Linked DNA regions of Mus musculus. The protein of the gene in region 1 purifies or fractionates together with the protein of each later gene. This does not show direct contact. Links are inferred from orthologs where the notes say so. Each region holds a gene or a part of one and is shown in the gene's direction. Other genes may lie near its edges. The genes, in order: E2f1, Skp2, Rbl2 and Sirt1.

The links.
Region 2: the proteins of E2f1 (region 1) and Skp2 purify together in Homo sapiens (affinity purification with western blotting; 6 studies listed by BioGRID). This does not show direct contact. The link is inferred for Mus musculus from reciprocal best matches to the Homo sapiens genes E2F1 and SKP2.
Region 3: the proteins of E2f1 (region 1) and Rbl2 purify together in Homo sapiens (affinity purification with western blotting; 3 studies listed by BioGRID and IntAct, with this or other methods). This does not show direct contact. The link is inferred for Mus musculus from reciprocal best matches to the Homo sapiens genes E2F1 and RBL2.
Region 4: the proteins of E2f1 (region 1) and Sirt1 purify together in Homo sapiens (affinity purification with western blotting; 3 studies listed by BioGRID and IntAct, with this or other methods). This does not show direct contact. The link is inferred for Mus musculus from reciprocal best matches to the Homo sapiens genes E2F1 and SIRT1.

Annotation. Positions count from the first base shown.
Region 1 is NC_000068.7:154,566,504-154,571,759, reverse strand, and holds the start of E2f1 (transcription factor E2F1), read left to right. Parts: upstream 1-1,867; 5' UTR 1,868-2,025; coding exon 2,026-2,271; intron 2,272-2,333; exon of another isoform or gene 2,334-2,582; coding exon of another isoform or gene 2,583-2,693; intron 2,694-5,256. UniProt on the Homo sapiens protein: Transcription activator that binds DNA cooperatively with DP proteins through the E2 recognition site, 5'-TTTC[CG]CGC-3' found in the promoter region of a number of genes whose products are involved in cell cycle regulation or in DNA replication.
Region 2 is NC_000081.6:9,137,045-9,142,330, reverse strand, and holds the start of Skp2 (S-phase kinase-associated protein 2), read left to right. Parts: upstream 1-1,876; 5' UTR 1,877-2,139; coding exon 2,140-2,147; intron 2,148-2,627; coding exon 2,628-2,899; intron 2,900-5,286. UniProt on the Homo sapiens protein: Substrate recognition component of a SCF (SKP1-CUL1-F-box protein) E3 ubiquitin-protein ligase complex which mediates the ubiquitination and subsequent proteasomal degradation of target proteins involved in cell cycle progression, signal transduction and transcription.
Region 3 is NC_000074.6:91,115,057-91,118,556, forward strand, and holds part of Rbl2 (retinoblastoma-like protein 2), read left to right. Parts: coding exon 1-193; intron 194-605; coding exon 606-770; intron 771-3,500. UniProt on the Homo sapiens protein: Key regulator of entry into cell division. Directly involved in heterochromatin formation by maintaining overall chromatin structure and, in particular, that of constitutive heterochromatin by stabilizing histone methylation.
Region 4 is NC_000076.6:63,318,094-63,322,649, reverse strand, and holds the end of Sirt1 (NAD-dependent protein deacetylase sirtuin-1), read left to right. Parts: intron 1-349; coding exon 350-901; intron 902-1,685; coding exon 1,686-2,014; 3' UTR 2,015-3,645; downstream 3,646-4,556. UniProt on the Homo sapiens protein: NAD-dependent protein deacetylase that links transcriptional regulation directly to intracellular energetics and participates in the coordination of several separated cellular functions such as cell cycle, response to DNA damage, metabolism, apoptosis and autophagy.

The DNA of each region.
Region 1 (5,256 bases):
ATTGAAAAGGTATACCAATTTGTTTTCAAAGATCAACACATTATCTGGGATGGGCATAAGTGTTCCTTGTGTTCCTTTGTTTAAATGTTTATTTATTTTTTTATTCTTGCTGTATTATACATAGTCCAGGCCATCCTGGGACTTAAGCTCTTCCAGTCTTGACAAAAAGATTCTAAACTGGAGGTCAAGTAGTGGCCCAAACATGTAACCCTAGCACTCAGGAGGCGGATGCAGGAAGGTAACATTGATTCAGTTTGAGCTACTACATAGCAAGATACTATCGCTTTAAAGAAAAAGGGGGGGGGGCGGAGCAAACCAGACATTGTGGCCCCACCCATTCAACTCCAGCACTGGAGGCTGGAGCAGGCAGATTTAATGATGTTCCAGGGCAACCAGAGCCAGATGAGACCCTGTCTCTAAACACAAACTAAAAACCCACCCCTCCCAATCAAAACAAACCAAAAAAAAAACAAGAAGGGGAGAGGGCGGCCTGGCTGGGGATTGATTCTAAATTGGCCAAACCGGGGTGGTTCAAAGTTAACCCGTGCCTTGGTGTTTCTGGGCCCTGGAACATCACAGCCCCCTTATTGCGTCCTTGCTCACCTCTGCCCTCAGCCTCCAATTCTCTCATACCCAGAAAGGGCCTGAGAAGCAGCCCCTGCTAAGCCAGCTCAGAGTAATGTGGTCAGAGTTGGGGCCAAGATTAAGTAGCATGAAGCATGGAGAAAGTAACCCGGCTTGAGAGCTCCCTGTAGCTTACACTGGACCTGGGGACTTGAATATTGTCAGCTACTTACTCTCTTCTTGTGGTCATCTCCCCCACCCCCAAGGACAGGAAGTTTGTGGGTCTTGTTAAACCTTTCATGTTTCTATTCCCAGTATTGGCAAGATGCCTAGTAGAGAGGACCACAATGCTGATCAGACGGGCTGACCCCAGCAATCAGAAATGCTGATGGAGGACCTCTGGATTAAAGGCACCACCATACGCACCCTCCTCGCCCCTGCACCTCCCTATGAGAGGAGATACTTTAATGGACCAATCTCTTCACATTGCAAACATCTGCTGCTTCTGTGTTTCCTTTTTTTCCTTTTCACTAAGTCATGAGTCAAGGTCTGGACTGAGGATGGGACAGTGAACGCTCTCAGGCGTTTTTTTTTTTTTGAGATCAGGGTCTCACTGTGTAGTTCTGGATGACCTGAACTGGGAAGATCCGCCTGCCTCTGCCTCCCAAGTGCTGGGATTAAAGGCAGGCGCCATTGTGGAGTGACCAAATGAATGAACGCTAACTGGGCTCTGGCTACGAAAGAAATTTCAGTAAAAAGACACTGAGATCAAAGCCACACATCCCTTACTCATTTCCTGGCTCCCCTCTTGGGCTTGGCTTCTGGGTGACAGGATAGGGAAGAAAGCATGATGTGAACTAATGGAATAAATGGATCTTAAGACCGGAGATGTGGCTGAAGCGAGCTTTGGAGGTGAGCCTGAAGAGGCAGTCTCTGGGCTGTAAACTGAGGGGGTGGAGACCACAGGTTGAGAGTTTAGGGGGTCATGTGGAGACTGCGGGACGTGCAGAACCGAGTACGAAGTTTGTTCGCTTCGCCAGACCCGCCACCCATCGAGTGGGCGGTGAAGGGGCGGGGCCCATTGCCCACGCCTCCTGCAGGGCACGGCGAGAGGCAGAGGGGAGAAGGCGCCCGGCACCGCCCGGACAAAGCCTGCGCGCGCCCCGCCCCGGGATTGGCCACCCCGCCCCTGGTCCCACCCTCCGTCTCCTGCCCCGCACGCCGCAACCAATGCTCGCCATCGGAGCCTCCGTCGTCACAGCCGCCCCGGCCAATGGAGGAGGCGTTCGGCGGCGCGTGGCTCTTTCGCGGCAAAAAGGATTTGGCGCGTAAAAGTGGCCCGGACTTTGCAGGCAGCGGCGGCCGGGGCGGAGCGGGATCGAGCCCTCGCCGCGGCCTGCCAGTCATGGGCCCGCGCCGCCGCCGCCGCCTGCCTCCCGGGCCACGCGGGCCGTGAGCGCCATGGCCGTAGCCCCCGCGGGCGGCCAGCACGCGCCAGCGCTGGAGGCCCTGCTCGGGGCGGGCGCGTTGCGGCTGCTCGACTCCTCGCAGATCGTCATCATCTCCACCGCGCCCGATGTCGGCGCCCCGCAGCTCCCCGCCGCGCCGCCCACTGGCCCTCGCGATTCTGACGTGCTGCTCTTCGCCACGCCGCAGGCGCCCCGACCCGCGCCTAGTGCACCGCGCCCGGCTCTCGGCCGCCCGCCGGTACGGACCCTAGGCGCGGGCGGGGGAGGGGACGGGCTGCTGCGCTGGGCGGCGCGGAGCCTGGGCTGGGCCTCGGGGCTCCGCCCCGGGGCGCGCATTGACTGACTGCCTTGCCTGTCTGTTTGCTGAGCCTCGCTCCGGGCCTCGGCGTCTTCACCGGAGCGTCGGAACCATTAATGATTGTGTCTCACGTGTATCCAGCTGGTGCTTGCTTAGTGCACGCTCAGGCTTTGGCACCAAATTCCCAATTCTGGTGTGAGCTGGGTGTTGTCACGTGCCCATCTGCCAGAGGGAGGAACTGAGGCCCAGAGATGGGGAAGTGCTTCACGCAGCTGCAGATGGTGGGGCTGATATTTGAACTGATGTCTGCTGGCTTGCTGCAGAACCTATGGCTAGGGAGTGCGCACAGTTGCTTGTTGGAGGTGAGAGAGGGTGACTGTTAGAGACATCTTCGGGAGATCCTCCTTAGTAGCTCTGCCAGGTGCAGGCCTGGCCTTCCAGGCCTCTGGGGATAGGCCTCTTGATTGGGAGGCCTTCTCTGCAGGGGCGGGGTGCTGGGCCAGCTGCTGCAACCCTTCCTTTGCCTGTTCTTCCATCTGCCACCCTTCCAGCTCCTGGTTGCCATGGAACTTTATTAATCAGGCGGACAGACCTCTGAGCCTCTGGAAGACTGGGTGGGCTGGGCCCCTGAGAAGGGGCCTCCAGTTCCTGGAGAGAGAAGACGTGGGAGGGAGATCCCTGGATAAAAGTCTCTTCCTGATTCTAAGCAAGTAGCTCAAGACCACTTTAGGCAGGGGGCCTAGAAAAGGCAGCTGGGTACGAGGAGAGTGGAACTTGGATCTAAGCAGGGGCCAGCTCCGTGAGTGGGCCACTATCTTCATTGTAGGGGTGGAGTGGACAGGAGGGGCGAGGGCAAGGCCCAGTATCAGAGAAGAAGCTGTTCAACTCCTGATGGGGGTGTGGGTGGCAGCTGGTCCCTGAGGCATCTTAGAGTAGGCCCCTTACTCCCCTTGGCACAGCGCCCAGTGCTGCCTTCCTTCCGGAATCACCAAGATGCTAATAATAATAACAATAGCAACCACCATTGTTTTGAGGATGTTTTGTGTGCCAGGCTCTGTGCTAAGCACTTTACTCACTTAACCTTGTGGGCAGCCGTACACTTTGTCATCCTTTCATAGATGAGGCTGAGGCCCACAACTGATAGAACTTCTTAAGCATTCAGTGACTGAGCGGGATTTCCTGGCTGTTAAAGGCCTTTCCTCCCAGCGAGGACGGCCAGTATTTGGTGGGTCAGCCGGCTTGCCTTGCATTAACTCCAGGGGCCTGTACCTGTAGGGAGGAGCTTGGGCCCTGGGCAGGTATTCTACATGTAACCAAACATTCCATTCGCTCTAGTTGAGTTAGTGAGTCCCTTTGTGCCCTAGGTGCAGAGGTAGTTAGGGAACCCCTGCCCCCATAGTACTTAAGGACCAGCAAACATTTTCTGTGGGAGAGGTTGACACCATCCCGGAGCCAAAGGCCAGGAATGCAAATCTGGATTTTGGCCTCTACCAACTTTGCTCTGGAATTTTGGGGGGGCAGTCCTTGAAATAAGCTACAGGCTTGGCTTGCACCCAGTGAATACTTGCTGGGTCCTTCCTGTGCACCTCTGTACACCTCTTTGCAGTTCAGACATTCCTCCTTGACCTACCTCTCTACCTTGTCATGTATGTGTAGATCCTGGGGGGGGGGGGGGAGGGGAATAGCACAGACAGGAGAACTGACACAGGTTCAAGGCCAGCCAGGGCTACATAGTGAAACCTAACCTTAAAGTAAGTTGGGCTGGATAGATGGTTCAGCCATTGAAAGCAATTGCTTCTCTGTTATGACAACTTGAGTTTGGATCACAGCCCCAACACTGAGGTCACATGGCTAACTTCAGTCTCCAGGGATTTGATAGTCTTCTCCTGTCTTTGGGTACCCATGTTCACATACATTCATACAGACACAAATTTCATTTTAAAAAGAAAATAATTTTAAAAAGTAAACTAGTTAAAAATAAATTAAGCCGGGCGTGGTGGCACACGCCTTTAATCCCAGCACTTGGGAGGCAGAGGCAGATTTCTGAGTTCGAGACCAGCCTGGTCTACAAAGTGAGTTCCAGGACAGCCAGGGCTACAGAGAAACCCTGTCTTGAAAAACAAAACAAAACAAACAAACAAAAATAAATAAAATATCAACAGCCTATTTTGGTTAATTGACTTCTTGAGTTCAAAGCCAGCCCGAATTACAAAGACCCTCTTTCAAAACAGTAACAGCAAGAAACTGAGGTTCCCCATTATAGTTCTTGTTTACTGTAGAAAGTATGTGGTACCATACATTAAGTCTGTAAGAGCCAGGCTTAGAGTAGAAAGCCAGCTCTTCTGCAGGGCCCTTGTTTTAGGTGTGACACTGTTGTTTTATTACACGAATCCCTGGCTGGTCGCTGTGAGTGCTTAATGCTGTTGGGGATTGAACCCAGAATTGAATGCACGCTGAATAAGTGCCAGGCCCCAGTCTTGTTTTTAATAGTTCTAAAATTTGCTGTGAGCCATGTGTGGTGGCTCCTTTAAAAGCCCAGTACTTAAGTGAGGTCCAAGGATCAGGAGTTCAAACAGTACGTCATTCACATTGCCCAGAGGAGGTAACCGTCTGCGCTGGCTCCCCCACAGACGCGCTCCTGTTTCTGAAACACTCTTAGAAGCTAAACTGGAGAACAGCTCCTGAGATTTCTAGTCCAGGAAGGGACCATGTATGTGTTAGCCTGTCACAGTGGTTTCCTTGTGTGTCTGAGCAGATTCTGTGCTGGCCTGGGCCTGCCTCGGTCTGTTACTGAGACTACATGCTGTTCCAGGGGCTGCATAAAGCTTTTGTGCCCTTCCTGTGTGTGTGTGTGTGGGGGGGGGGGGGGGAGGGGGTTGAATCATTCAGCTATCTGTATCTTCACCTATGGGTTTTAGGATCTCA
Region 2 (5,286 bases), on another chromosome or scaffold:
TAAAGTCTCTATGGTGAGTTTCTATGTAGCTAATAACCTCACATCTTCAATGGACACAATTCCTCTATCAAAAAGAATCGTAACGGGCAGTGGTGGCACACACCTTTAATCCCAGCACTTGGGAGGCAGAGGCAGGTGGATTTCTGAGTTCGAGGCCAGCTTGGTCTACAGAGTGAGTTCCAGGTCAGCCAGGGCTACACAGAGAAACCCTGTCTCGAAAAACCAAAGGAAAAAAAAAATAAAAAGAATCGTGTGTGTATCAATACAAACCTTTTCAGTATATTATGGAAATAGCTGTGATTAAAGAAATGCAAAAGAACACCGGTTTCATTATCAAGGCAAATCAGGAGGCTCCTAATTTCAAAGTTGATAGGCTTTCCTTTCCTAGAGAGAACCTTGTGCCCACTAATTTAAATATCCTAAGGTCTCTGCTAACTCTTAGCTGAATTCAGGGCTGTTTTATATTTACTAGAATTTACTCTTGAACGAGTTACATCCTAACAGAAAGGACAAAGTTCAAGAGAAGGCAAATGAGTTTTTCAAAGTAACAAAAGATAACTTTATACACTATTTCAGAAGGTCTCACTTTAGATACTTTCCATAACAAAACTGTGACTACATACTTATTCTCCTAGTCTTTCTTTTCAAGTAAAACCAATTTGCAAAAAGGTCTTTTTTTTTTACACCAATCTCACTCACAGGAACTAAAAGTTCATGAATCTCTTCCTCTCAAGAAGTAACTGATGCAAAGATTATGCTAGAAACAAAGACAAAACTGAGCATGAAGGATTTAATTCCACTATAAAACGAATCTTGCTCTCTCCACAAAGAAACACAAGTGTATGCAATCTAACATACTAAACCAATATTCTAATGTTTTTGATGAAGGTGGCCTGCTTTTTTCTCAACTCTATAAATCTTCATTTTTACTGGACTAGAAATGCATCCCCCTACCCTCTCCCCTGTTGCACAGTTTGCACACCTGAATTTTGCATGGTCATTCTAATCTAATCGCCCCCGACCTCTTCAGAGGCTAAATTAGCATAGTTTCTAGGCAGAGAGATTCTAGGACAGGCTGTGGATTGAGTCAGAGGCACCTAAACAGCTTTCAGGGTGGTCTCTCCTTGCAAGCGGAGCCTCCCTTTTTCCCTTTGGTATTTGGGAGACTCATCAAGGATCCAAGAGGATGCACGCGGGAACCACTGCTGGCTCCTGCCGCCTTAAAAATAAACCATCGCTCCTCTTGGAGCTGCGCTTTAGCTCGAAAAAGGCTTCCCCTCGCACGCTGATTTGATCTTCAGTGCCAGCCCATGAGGTGTGCCGCGTCCTCGAGCCTAGTTTACAAGTGAGGAAAGGATCGCGTCCACAGACCCAGTCCTAAGGGCCGCCCACTGCCAGGTGGAGGAAGGCGAATGGCAGGAGTGCCACCCGCAGCCTCTCACCTGGCGGGCCATCGAGACCCCGGAGATGGGCCTGGCGGCGGCGGCCACTCACCATCTGGAACTCCCCCCAAGTCTATGTCCGCCAGGGACTGGGCCGGGACCCCAGACCCTGACGCACCTCACGCGTCCCCGCCCCCCTCACGCTCACCGTCGGACCTCGCCAGACAGCGTCTGGAAGGGACTCAGAAGCTTCGCGTCCGCCGCAGCCTGCCGGGGTCACGGATCCTTCAGTCCCGGGCGACCGTGGCGGTGATCACCCGAAGGCCCGTGAGCTCCGGGAAAAGGAAAACCTGCTCCCAGTCAATCGGCTGACATTTCCCAGCCAGCCGGAGCTCCACCCACTTCCGCCTGCCTGTCCTCCTCCTCCTCCTCCTCCTCCTTCAATCCCGCCCGGCGCCGCAGGGAGTTGTGGGTATCTGGAGGGTTGGTCCGAAATCAGAGTGGAAGAACCCAGGCAGGACTACGAGCTAGGCTCGGAACTACAATTCCCAGCAGGCAACGGGGCGTCAGAAGGCGGCTGCTGGAGAGCGGGATGCAGAACTCCGCGCGCGCGGTGGTGATGGAACGTTGCTAGTTCGCGGGTCCAACTGCTGGGGCCCCGGGGATCACTCTAAGCCGAGCGCTAAAACAGGAGTCTGGAAGGCAGGCAGCGCTTCAATTAATTCAAGCATTCAAAACTCCTGAATCAGTGGACACCATGCATAGGTAAACCGATTGCAAAAAAACCGGACAAAACATGAATGAACCGTTTGAATTCTTTTAGGCCGCGAATGTTGCTTCTTGTTCAAATAATCTGGTTATGTGAATGTTTGCTTAGAGAAAAAGGATGGATGAATGCTTTAGTGCGAATATCAATGTGGAGTTTAATTTGGCTTCCTAATTAAGTTTTCCTTCCTCTACTTTGAGTCATGGTATCAGTGCCGTCCCTCTTTTTCCCTCCACGGGAAGAAATTATTGAGGCCTTCTGCGTGACCATAAATCCCAAAGCCTTTCAAAGTATATATGTTCCCGATTTTTCTCTTTCATTCTTGTATTTCTCTCGCTTGTAGGCACGTTTAAAAAATGCAGTACTGTCACTTGCTGGGACTTTTCTCCACTCCATTCTTTACTCTTCTTTCATGCCTACCTTGGAATTATTTAGGGGTGTATTTTCAAAAGGAATAGAGAATGTCTGCCCTTCTGCAGGAAGCACCTTCAGGAGATTCCGGACCAGAGTGGCAACGTCACCACCAGCTTCACGTGGGGATGGGATTCCAGCAAGACTTCTGAACTGCTATCAGGCATGGGTGTCTCGGCCTTGGAGAAGGAGGAGGTGGACAGTGAGAACATCCCACATGGACTGCTCTCAAACCTCGGCCACCCCCAGAGCCCTCCAAGGAAACGAGTCAAGGGCAAAGGGAGTGACAAAGACTTTGTGATCATCCGTCGGCCGAAGCTTAGTCGGGAGAACTTTCCAGGTAATGCACAACACTAAGATCCAAACTGTATTGTAATGGGTTGAACTATTTTGTTTTAACTAAATTCGATTGAATTATTTCCTTGGGGAATCTTTTTGGATCGGTGCCTAAAATTGCCTAGTTTTGGTGCCTAAAATTGCCTAGTTTGGAAGTGTGGCAGTGAAATGGATTCCAGTCATTAAGTCTTCAGGAATCTTGGTTGGTCTTTATCTTGTGGTCAACAATTGACTTGAAGCTTTTTTCCTGCCCTTTTCCTTAGAAAGGAATCTTCCTGCTCAAAGTCCAGCTCAGTACACTGACATATGGGAACAGAAGCAGGGATCTTAGAGGGTCCCCTTTTGTCTCTATATACTTCTTTGTATCTGAGCAAGCTTTGTATGGTAATGACTTAGATTATTGGTAGGCACATTAGGAAGGTAAATGTTACTAAGTAGAAGAGACTTAGATTGCTCCGCTTGCAAGCAGGCCCTTGGGGGTGTGGTGTTTCCCTTACTGTGACATTGCATCTACAGTCATAGAACCCTGAAATGTGGTCTCATCCCCACTGCCCCCACTACCCAGCTAGTCACTGTGTCTTTCACTCTTGTGTGGCAGCTGTTTCAAGCTTTCATCATCTCTTCCTGGATTATTGTAATAGATTTATATTGTCAGCTTTCTTCTCAGCTCTGTCTCCAGGAGGCAGGGTGGATTGATGAGATCAGAATTTACCTGAAATTCTTCTCTCACTAGTGACTCCCACTCCTTGATTCCCCAAACATTTTTAAATAAAGCGCCTCCAGGGCAGATCCAGACTCAAGGACTGGCAGCCTTAGAGTAAATATAGTGTGTTGACCTGAGGCTTGTCAAGGTTTCCCCACCCCCACCCCCTAGTCATTTAAAAAAGTGATTCAGGGTCGGGCAGTGGTAGCACACGCCTTTAATCCCAGGATTTAGGAGGCAGAGGCAGGCGGATTTCTGAGGCCAGCCTGGTCTACAGAGTGAGTTCCAGGACAGCCAGGGCTACACAGAGAAACCCTGTCTCAAAAGAGTGATTCAGGAAGTGTTTTTGAGAGCACACTGTCCTCCACAGTATAGTGGCTCCAGATAATAGCAGTGAACAAAACAGACAAATCCTAGAACTTCCATTCTAGTGAGGAAATGCTGGAAGTCCAATGGATATGGTACTTTCTGTAACATGTTAGGCCAACGTGGCTAAAAACAAAGAGGGGGTCAAACTGAGGCAGAATGGAGGAAGTCTTGGAATCTGAAGATAGATTGCAAACTGGTTATTGGCTGACATCCTTATTTGGGCTGTGACCTTTAAGCAAAGACAAGGGGAGAATGCAGGAATACGCGTGAAAATGTCCCTTGGCATAGGGAACCTAAAGTAAAGGGAAGCCACATAAGATGCTGGAGAACAGGAAAGCAGAGTGAGAGTGGACAGAGTAGGGAGAGGTGCGGCCTCAGGTGGGGCTGATCTTTCCTCATTGGAACACTCACTCCTCTCCCCTCGTTCAGTGTCGTCCATTGAGACAGGGTTTCTTTGTTTGTAGTGTAACTCACTGGCCTCCAACTCAGACAGGCTGGCCTCCAGCTCAGAGATCTGCCTGCCTCAAGTGCTGGGATTAAAAGAGTGGACCATTGGCGCCCCGGCTCGGTGACCCCTCCAAAGGGACACATTGGTTAGCTGAGGCTGAACTGTATCGGGTAGAGGATAGGCAGCAGACCCCTAGAGATTTATGTAGAGCAGTGAGAGAATGATAAGCCGTGGTCAGGATGAAAGCAGTGGAAGAGGTGACCAAAGTCTAAACTAAAATTGGGTGAGGAATGGAAAAAGACGTTGAAGAAAGCATCAGAGTGAAGCCTTGCAAAGCCAGCGTAAAGAAATGGATTCTTCCGTCCTTCCTTCGGGCGCTGTCTGCAGACAGGGTGGTGAGCAGATCCGTGGCTTGCTTGAAAATCCCTGTTTTGTAGTCCCCTGTGGTGTCTCATGCCTTTGAACCCAGTACACCAGTGGCCAAAGCTGGCAGATCTCTGTGAATTGGAAGCTCTTTGGCCTATACAGTGACTTCCAGGACAACCAGGGCTACGCAATGAGACTCTTGTCTCAAAAAAAAAAAATTCTGTTTGGGCTTCTCAATACTTTTTTGGAAAGGGAGTCATCTTCAGGTTATAGCATGTGAGTCCACATTAATGCCAGGTATGGTGGCACGTCTCTCTGGTCCCAGTTTAAGAGGCTGTAGTCAGAAGATGGGGATTTCTAGAAAGCATGAGCCTCGCAGTAAGACTGTCTCAAAGTGAAAACATAACTGAATATATAATAATATATGAGATTAACTAGAGGGGTATGGAAGTAAGTTCAGACAAATCTACATTTAAACCTTGATGCTGCCATTGGGAGCTACCTT
Region 3 (3,500 bases), on another chromosome or scaffold:
CCCAGTGATGAGGTCAAACAGCACCCTACCAGTTCCACAGCCCAGCAGTGCCCCTCCTACACCAACTCGACTCACGGGTGCCAGCAGTGACGTTGAAGAGGAGGAACGAGGAGACCTCATTCAGTTCTACAACAACATCTATAGGAAGCAAATCCAAGCGTTTGCCATGAAGTACTCGCAGGCAAACGCGCAGGTCAGTAGGGCAGGGTCACTGAGTTCAGCCTCTCACGAGGGGGAGGAATCACTTGAGGTTTTCCATCATAAACTAGGCTTACAAGTAATTCTTTAAACAGTCTCCAACACGAGTATCAAGGCACAAGTCAACTGAGCTCTCTGTACAGTTGTCAGTCACCTCATATATGAAATGAGGACAGTAGTTGTCTGACTGCTGGGAGGCTCAAATGATATAATGTATAAAAATGCTTCACATGGGGGCTGAACTAAACACCTGCATGTGTTAGCTGTTGGTGTGAGTCTCTAGTTTCTTTGGTTGTTGCTGATCCACCACTGTTCATCTTTCAAAAGCCTTCCACTCAACTGTTGACTTTTAATGCAACCTGGCTAGGACGGCTTATTCTCAGAATTCCTTGTTTTGTTTTCCACAGACGGACACTCCTCCCCTCTCTCCCTATCCATTTGTAAGAACAGGCTCCCCTCGCCGAGTACAGTTATCTCAAAGTCATCCTATCTACATTTCCCCACATAACAACGAAGCAATGCCTTCTCCTCGAGAGAAGATTTTTTACTACTTCAGCAACAGCCCATCAAAGGTAAGACTACATAAATGGCATTAACCAACTCTAACTGCTTAGCAGGCTAGGACTAGCTCTAGTGAGCGAAGCACTCCCTGGGGCACTGTAACTGCCGGACATCAGAAGGCTTAAGTCACAATGGGCAGAACCCAGGATCCAATGGGTTTTGAGGACATCAGGGTTGGAAATAAAGTTGAGGAACTATGTTTTTCTTACCTCCTTTCCAATCTGTACATTTTGAAAACTGAGTTTTCTTTCATTAGTAAAATTTTATTTTTCTGCTTCTGTTCAGAATAGAAACTTTGGACTTTTTTTTTTTCCGTTTTGTTTTGTTTGTTTGTTTGTTTGTTTTGTTTTGTTTTCCAGACAGGGTTTCTGTGTATAGCTTTGGATGTCCTGGAACTCACTCTGTAGACCAGGCTGGCCTTGAACTCAGAAATCCACCTGCCTCTGCCTCCCAAGTGCTGGAATCAAAGGTGTGCGCCACCACCACCCAGTGAAACTTTGGACTCTTTAAACTGGTTACCAAGTTCTGTTTCTGCAGCAGTTACTTTCTCTCTCTCCACGGAGAGCTCAGAGTTAGACATATGTGGTAGCACCTGTTTCAGAGCAGGGAAACTTGAGCCTTGATAGTGAAGAGTTACATAGTTCCTGAGATGTGGAAGTATGCCCAAGAATCAGAGAAGAGGGAAAAAGGCTGTCTCACTGGAAGTAACGTAGGCTCAGTGGGGACAGAAGACGCTGTGACAAGCCAAATGCAGCATGTGCCCTTTTTGACTGGGTTGTGCTTAGGGAACCATGTGACACGGGGTAGGGTTGGGACTTAGTGTGGTGCCGACATTGATGGTACTGGTGGCTTATTACCACTGTATTTGGCTTATTGCTGCTCACTGCTGACTGAGCCCTCTCCCCAACCCTCTTACCTCTTTGATTCCTGTACCATCTTACCACCACAATCCATTTTGGAATGTATTTGGTTAAAATTGCAAGTTTTATAAGAAATACTGTCCCAATTTTAGGAAATCTCATCCCTCTGCAATTGCTTTTTGGATCAGTTGCTGACAATCTGTTGGTAGGTTTTACAAACAACCCCATTAAGATCATCTAGTATTAGATGTAAAAAACGTATGCAGTTTCTTCAAATGTGAAGATACACTTTAAAGGAGACAATCCTGCTGGATGGTGGAGGCACACACCTTTAATCCCAGCACTTGTGGGGCAGAAGCAGGCAGATCTCTTGAGTTTAAGGCCATCCTGATCTACAGAGTGAGTTCCAAAATGGCAATCCAAATACCTAGTAGTTGATGAATAAAATAAGTATGTATATGACCAAAAAGTGAAGTACTAGCTAGCACATACTTCTGTGTGGGTAACCCCTATAGACACAACAGTGAGTGGGGTTAGTTATAGAAGACTGAACATGATCTACGCAGGTTAGATGTACGCAATGAGCAGATATATAGAGGCAGAAAACAGATCAGTGGTTGCCTGGGAGAAAAGGAAGCATTTCCGCTGGTGGGAAAGATTCCTTTGAGAGCAATAAGGTTGACTGTAGCAAGCAGCTATCACTGGGTCACACTGTAAATGCTGAGCTATGTGGCATGCCAATTTTATCTCAACAAGGCTGTTGTAAAGAACGTGTTCAAAACACCATGCTAGCACCAAGTACAAAGAGACTCGCGGTAGCTATCTAACACAAGAACTAGACTTCAGAGCAAGGAGACCCAGACATTCACTTCCTGGGCGAGGAATACAGCTCAGTGGTGAAGCATTAGCAGAGCATGGACCCTGCTCAGTTATGAGAGATGTGAGCTGTGAGGAGAGAAAATGCATTCATGGTGGAGAAGTCAACATAACTGATAGAACGGGCAGAGAAAATGAATAAAGATATAAAAGACGGGACAACAATCCACAGCGCCACCTGCCTGTGGGACACTAATACAAAGGTAGACCATATTCTGGACTACACACACATCTTAGTACAGTGCTGAGCACCAGTCTCATCCATGCAAAGCAGGTGCTTGTCCACTGAATTACATCCCCACATTTGTAGTGAATTAAAGGATTCAAATAATGCAATTTTTTTCTGGCCATACTGGCAATCAATGCTCTCTGCAAACCTCTAAAGTTTTGGAAGCTTAATATCAGATTTCTGTGGGTGAAAGAAGAGATCACAGAGAAGATGAAAGCATTTTATATTAATGAGAATCTACAATGTTTACATTGTAGGTGTCTTAGTCACTGTTCTATTGCTGTGGAGAAACACCATGACCAGACAAAATCCCAGCAGAATTAATTGTAAAAAGTAGTCCCATGATTAAAAAATGTGTATAAACAGGCAAAGGAACCCAATAATACAACTTTTAAAGAGTTGGGGGTTCACAGCATCTGAGTTCTTAGGCTTAAGGTAGTGTAGCTCAAATGCAAATTCAGAGGTCAGTACAACACACCGAAGCAAGCATACTGTGTGTGCAGGGTGAGCTGAGTCTTTCTCAAAGGTGCCGTGGCAGTTGTCAAGCCAACTGTTAGCACCAACAGATGGCGCTAAACTGAGTGGCAATCTATGTGCTGTAACAATCATAGATCATATGCATGCCTGTGTCACATGTAATACTTAATGCCAAGTAATCACAGATACAAATATAAAACCAACAACTGAAAACTTACAGAAGAAAATGAAGTCTTGATGAGCATGTGCTGTGGACAGATTTCTCAGATACAACATAAAAATCACAATCCATGAAATAA
Region 4 (4,556 bases), on another chromosome or scaffold:
AAAGATCCACCCGCCTCTCCCTCCCAAGTGTTAAAGCCATGAGCCTTCACAACCAGCTAGACTTTTATTTTTTTAAGCTAATTTAAAGGATTAGTTTAAGCTTTCTGAACTGGAACACCTAGGATCTCAGCTAAGTCTTGAACAGAAGTGCCATGAGTTTAAGGCCTGAGCGGGAGGAAAGTCTACTGTTTGTTATTGAGAGGAAGTTGCTTTTGAAAATGTGATTTGTATTTCTGCTTGCCCCTCTTTTTGTTGTTGGGATTAGCGGGGGTGTGCTACCATGCCCACCTCTTGACAGTTGTTAAAATTAACTTCTCTTTTCTAACTCCCCTTTTCACCCCATTTTTAGGTTCTATACCCCATGAAGTGCCTCAAATATTAATAAATAGGGAACCTTTGCCTCATCTACATTTTGATGTAGAGCTCCTTGGAGACTGCGATGTTATAATTAATGAGTTGTGTCATAGGCTAGGTGGTGAATATGCCAAACTTTGTTGTAACCCTGTAAAGCTTTCAGAAATTACTGAAAAACCTCCACGCCCACAAAAGGAATTGGTTCATTTATCAGAGTTGCCACCAACACCTCTTCATATTTCGGAAGACTCAAGTTCACCTGAAAGAACTGTACCACAAGACTCTTCTGTGATTGCTACACTTGTAGACCAAGCAACAAACAACAATGTTAATGATTTAGAAGTATCTGAATCAAGTTGTGTGGAAGAAAAACCACAAGAAGTACAGACTAGTAGGAATGTTGAGAACATTAATGTGGAAAATCCAGATTTTAAGGCTGTTGGTTCCAGTACTGCAGACAAAAATGAAAGAACTTCAGTTGCAGAAACAGTGAGAAAATGCTGGCCTAATAGACTTGCAAAGGAGCAGATTAGTAAGCGGCTTGAGGGTATGGAATGCGTTTTGTTGAATCACTTTCAAAGTACTGTGATCAGAGGAGGGTGATTCCCAATGTCAGATAACTGTTTTGACATTAGTTGATGAAGGTAGTGCTATGTGTTTGTGTGTATTAAGTTAAAGTAAGTTTGGGCGATGAGTTTGTCTTTGCTGGCAGTAGTGTGTATGATTAAACCTGGGGCTTCAAGCAGCTAGGGAACGAGATCTGTCAGCTGAGTTATATCCCAAAAGTGGGTTTTACTCCGTTCTCCCACCTCCCCAGCAAATGATTAAGACTTGGGTCAGTTTATGATCTTATAGGGTGGGAACCATGTTCTGGGTGGGAAAACTCAGGGTTGAAGATGTACCCCAGAAGGTAATTAGGCCTAGGTCTGCCTTAAGGCTGTACCCTCTTCTACCTTCTTGCTCAAACAAGGCTGCCTTGTTTAAGATCTCGAAAACAGGGTTCCTATCTACTGGACACCTATTTTGTCCTGTCAACTGTTAGGGTGGTGCAAACACTGCTCCCTCCCCTCTAACACAGGCACAATCTGTTCATACACAATGGGAGGCTTGTGCTCTGGGAATTGCACTTGGCCTGTATCATATTTGCCCCTGGAACAAGCTTTGGAAGTATGTTTCTGGTCATTGGTGCAAACAAGGGAGCTGTTAGACTTGAAAAGATGTAATCCCAGCCTTCAGGAGGCAGAAGTAAGAGTTGAGTTCAAGAGTAAGCCAACAAGTTAGGTACTAAGGGACACATAAAATTCTAAGTGCTATTTTCTTCTGTATTTCAGGTAATCAATACCTGTTTGTACCACCAAATCGTTACATATTCCACGGTGCTGAGGTATACTCAGACTCTGAAGATGACGTCTTGTCCTCTAGTTCCTGTGGCAGTAACAGTGACAGTGGCACATGCCAGAGTCCAAGTTTAGAAGAACCCTTGGAAGATGAAAGTGAAATTGAAGAATTCTACAATGGCTTGGAAGATGATACGGAGAGGCCCGAATGTGCTGGAGGATCTGGATTTGGAGCTGATGGAGGGGATCAAGAGGTTGTTAATGAAGCTATAGCTACAAGACAGGAATTGACAGATGTAAACTATCCATCAGACAAATCATAACACTATTGAAGCTGTCCGGATTCAGGAATTGCTCCACCAGCATTGGGAACTTTAGCATGTCAAAAAATGAATGTTTACTTGTGAACTTGAACAAGGAAATCTGAAAGATGTATTATTTATAGACTGGAAAATAGATTGTCTTCTTGGATAATTTCTAAAGTTCCATCATTTCTGTTTGTACTTGTACATTCAACACTGTTGGTTGACTTCATCTTCCTTTCAAGGTTCATTTGTATGATACATTCGTATGTATGTATAATTTTGTTTTTTGCCTAATGAGTTTCAACCTTTTAAAGTTTTCAAAAGCCATTGGAATGTTAATGTAAAGGGAACAGCTTATCTAGACCAAAGAATGGTATTTCACACTTTTTTGTTTGTAACATTGAATAGTTTAAAGCCCTCAATTTCTGTTCTGCTGAACTTTTATTTTTAGGACAGTTAACTTTTTAAACACTGGCATTTTCCAAAACTTGTGGCAGCTAACTTTTTAAAATCACAGATGACTTGTAATGTGAGGAGTCAGCACCGTGTCTGGAGCACTCAAAACTTGGTGCTCAGTGTGTGAAGCGTACTTACTGCATCGTTTTTGTACTTGCTGCAGACGTGGTAATGTCCAAACAGGCCCCTGAGACTAATCTGATAAATGATTTGGAAATGTGTTTCAGTTGTTCTAGAAACAATAGTGCCTGTCTATATAGGTCCCCTTAGTTTGAATATTTGCCATTGTTTAATTAAATACCTATCACTGTGGTAGAGCCTGCATAGATCTTCACCACAAATACTGCCAAGATGTGAATATGCAAAGCCTTTCTGAATCTAATAATGGTACTTCTACTGGGGAGAGTGTAATATTTTGGACTGCTGTTTTTCCATTAATGAGGAAAGCAATAGGCCTCTTAATTAAAGTCCCAAAGTCATAAGATAAATTGTAGCTCAACCAGAAAGTACACTGTTGCCTGTTGAGGATTTGGTGTAATGTATCCCAAGGTGTTAGCCTTGTATTATGGAGATGAATACAGATCCAATAGTCAAATGAAACTAGTTCTTAGTTATTTAAAAGCTTAGCTTGCCTTAAAACTAGGGATCAATTTTCTCAACTGCAGAAACTTTTAGCCTTTCAAACAGTTCACACCTCAGAAAGTCAGTATTTATTTTACAGACTTCTTTGGAACATTGCCCCCAAATTTAAATATTCATGTGGGTTTAGTATTTATTACAAAAAAATGATTTGAAATATAGCTGTTCTTTATGCATAAAATACCCAGTTAGGACCATTACTGCCAGAGGAGAAAAGTATTAAGTAGCTCATTTCCCTACCTAAAAGATAACTGAATTTATTTGGCTACACTAAAGAATGCAGTATATTTAGTTTTCCATTTGCATGATGTGTTTGTGCTATAGACAATATTTTAAATTGAAAAATTTGTTTTAAATTATTTTTACAGTGAAGACTGTTTTCAGCTCTTTTTATATTGTACATAGACTTTTATGTAATCTGGCATATGTTTTGTAGACCGTTTAATGACTGGATTATCTTCCTCCAACTTTTGAAATACAAAAACAGTGTTTTATACTTGTATCTTGTTTTAAAGTCTTATATTAAAATTGTCATTTGACTTTTTTCCCGTTAACTTCCATTGTTCATAGCATACTAGCCCAGTAAGGGTTGCTATCACTAAATGCCTCAAGAAAGTCTATCTTAACACATTTGTTACCTGTGTTTAGTAAGACTGAGGGTGTTGGTTTTCTAGTGTCAGACCAGAGTGAATCCAAAGCTGGCCATGTAAAAGACACCTGGCAAAGAAAGCTAAATACACCAAGTGGAGAAATGGTTTAATGTGGTCTGTGGTTCCCCCTCCTCCTCCAATTTGGAAAGAATGCCAAATGAGATGACAGTACAAATAGCCAGAGCCTCACCCAGAACACTGCTGGGTGTGGTGGGCATGCCCACAGTAGGTGACTCTTGTACATACACAGGGACTAACTTACTAACTTAAGATCTCATTTTTTGTAGGGAGGAGTGCGCTTTGAAGGAAAAAGGTGTGTGTCCCAACTAAGCATTTTTAGACAGGAGTCCGTTTTAGTGAATAGCCCAAATAGCCTCACCAAAACAATTCAAAATAGTGTTGGCTGCAAGAGTTCAGCAGTTGAGTGCTTACTGCTTTTGTGTGGTTCTCAGCTTGTGACTGGGATGCCTGGCCTACACATAACACAAACCACCTAAGTTAAATCAAAGATATTAAGTATTTTAAGCTTTTTATGGCATTTCTGTTAGATGTACCACATCAATTCATATTCAGTTATCCCACATTAATAAACTGAAAATAAGCAACAGCACCATTTAAAATCTCAGATTTTCTAAGCACTAAAAATTGAATACTGCAGCATCAGTAGTTTTAAAGCTGTAACTCGTGATTGTTTCTCACAGTGGCTTATATCTATCTCAGGACTCAGAAAGCTTAAAGTTAAGTAACACTTAATTTAGGTCTGCATATTGTAGCAAAAAGATCATTTCCGCCGGGCGTGGTGGCCCATGCCTTTA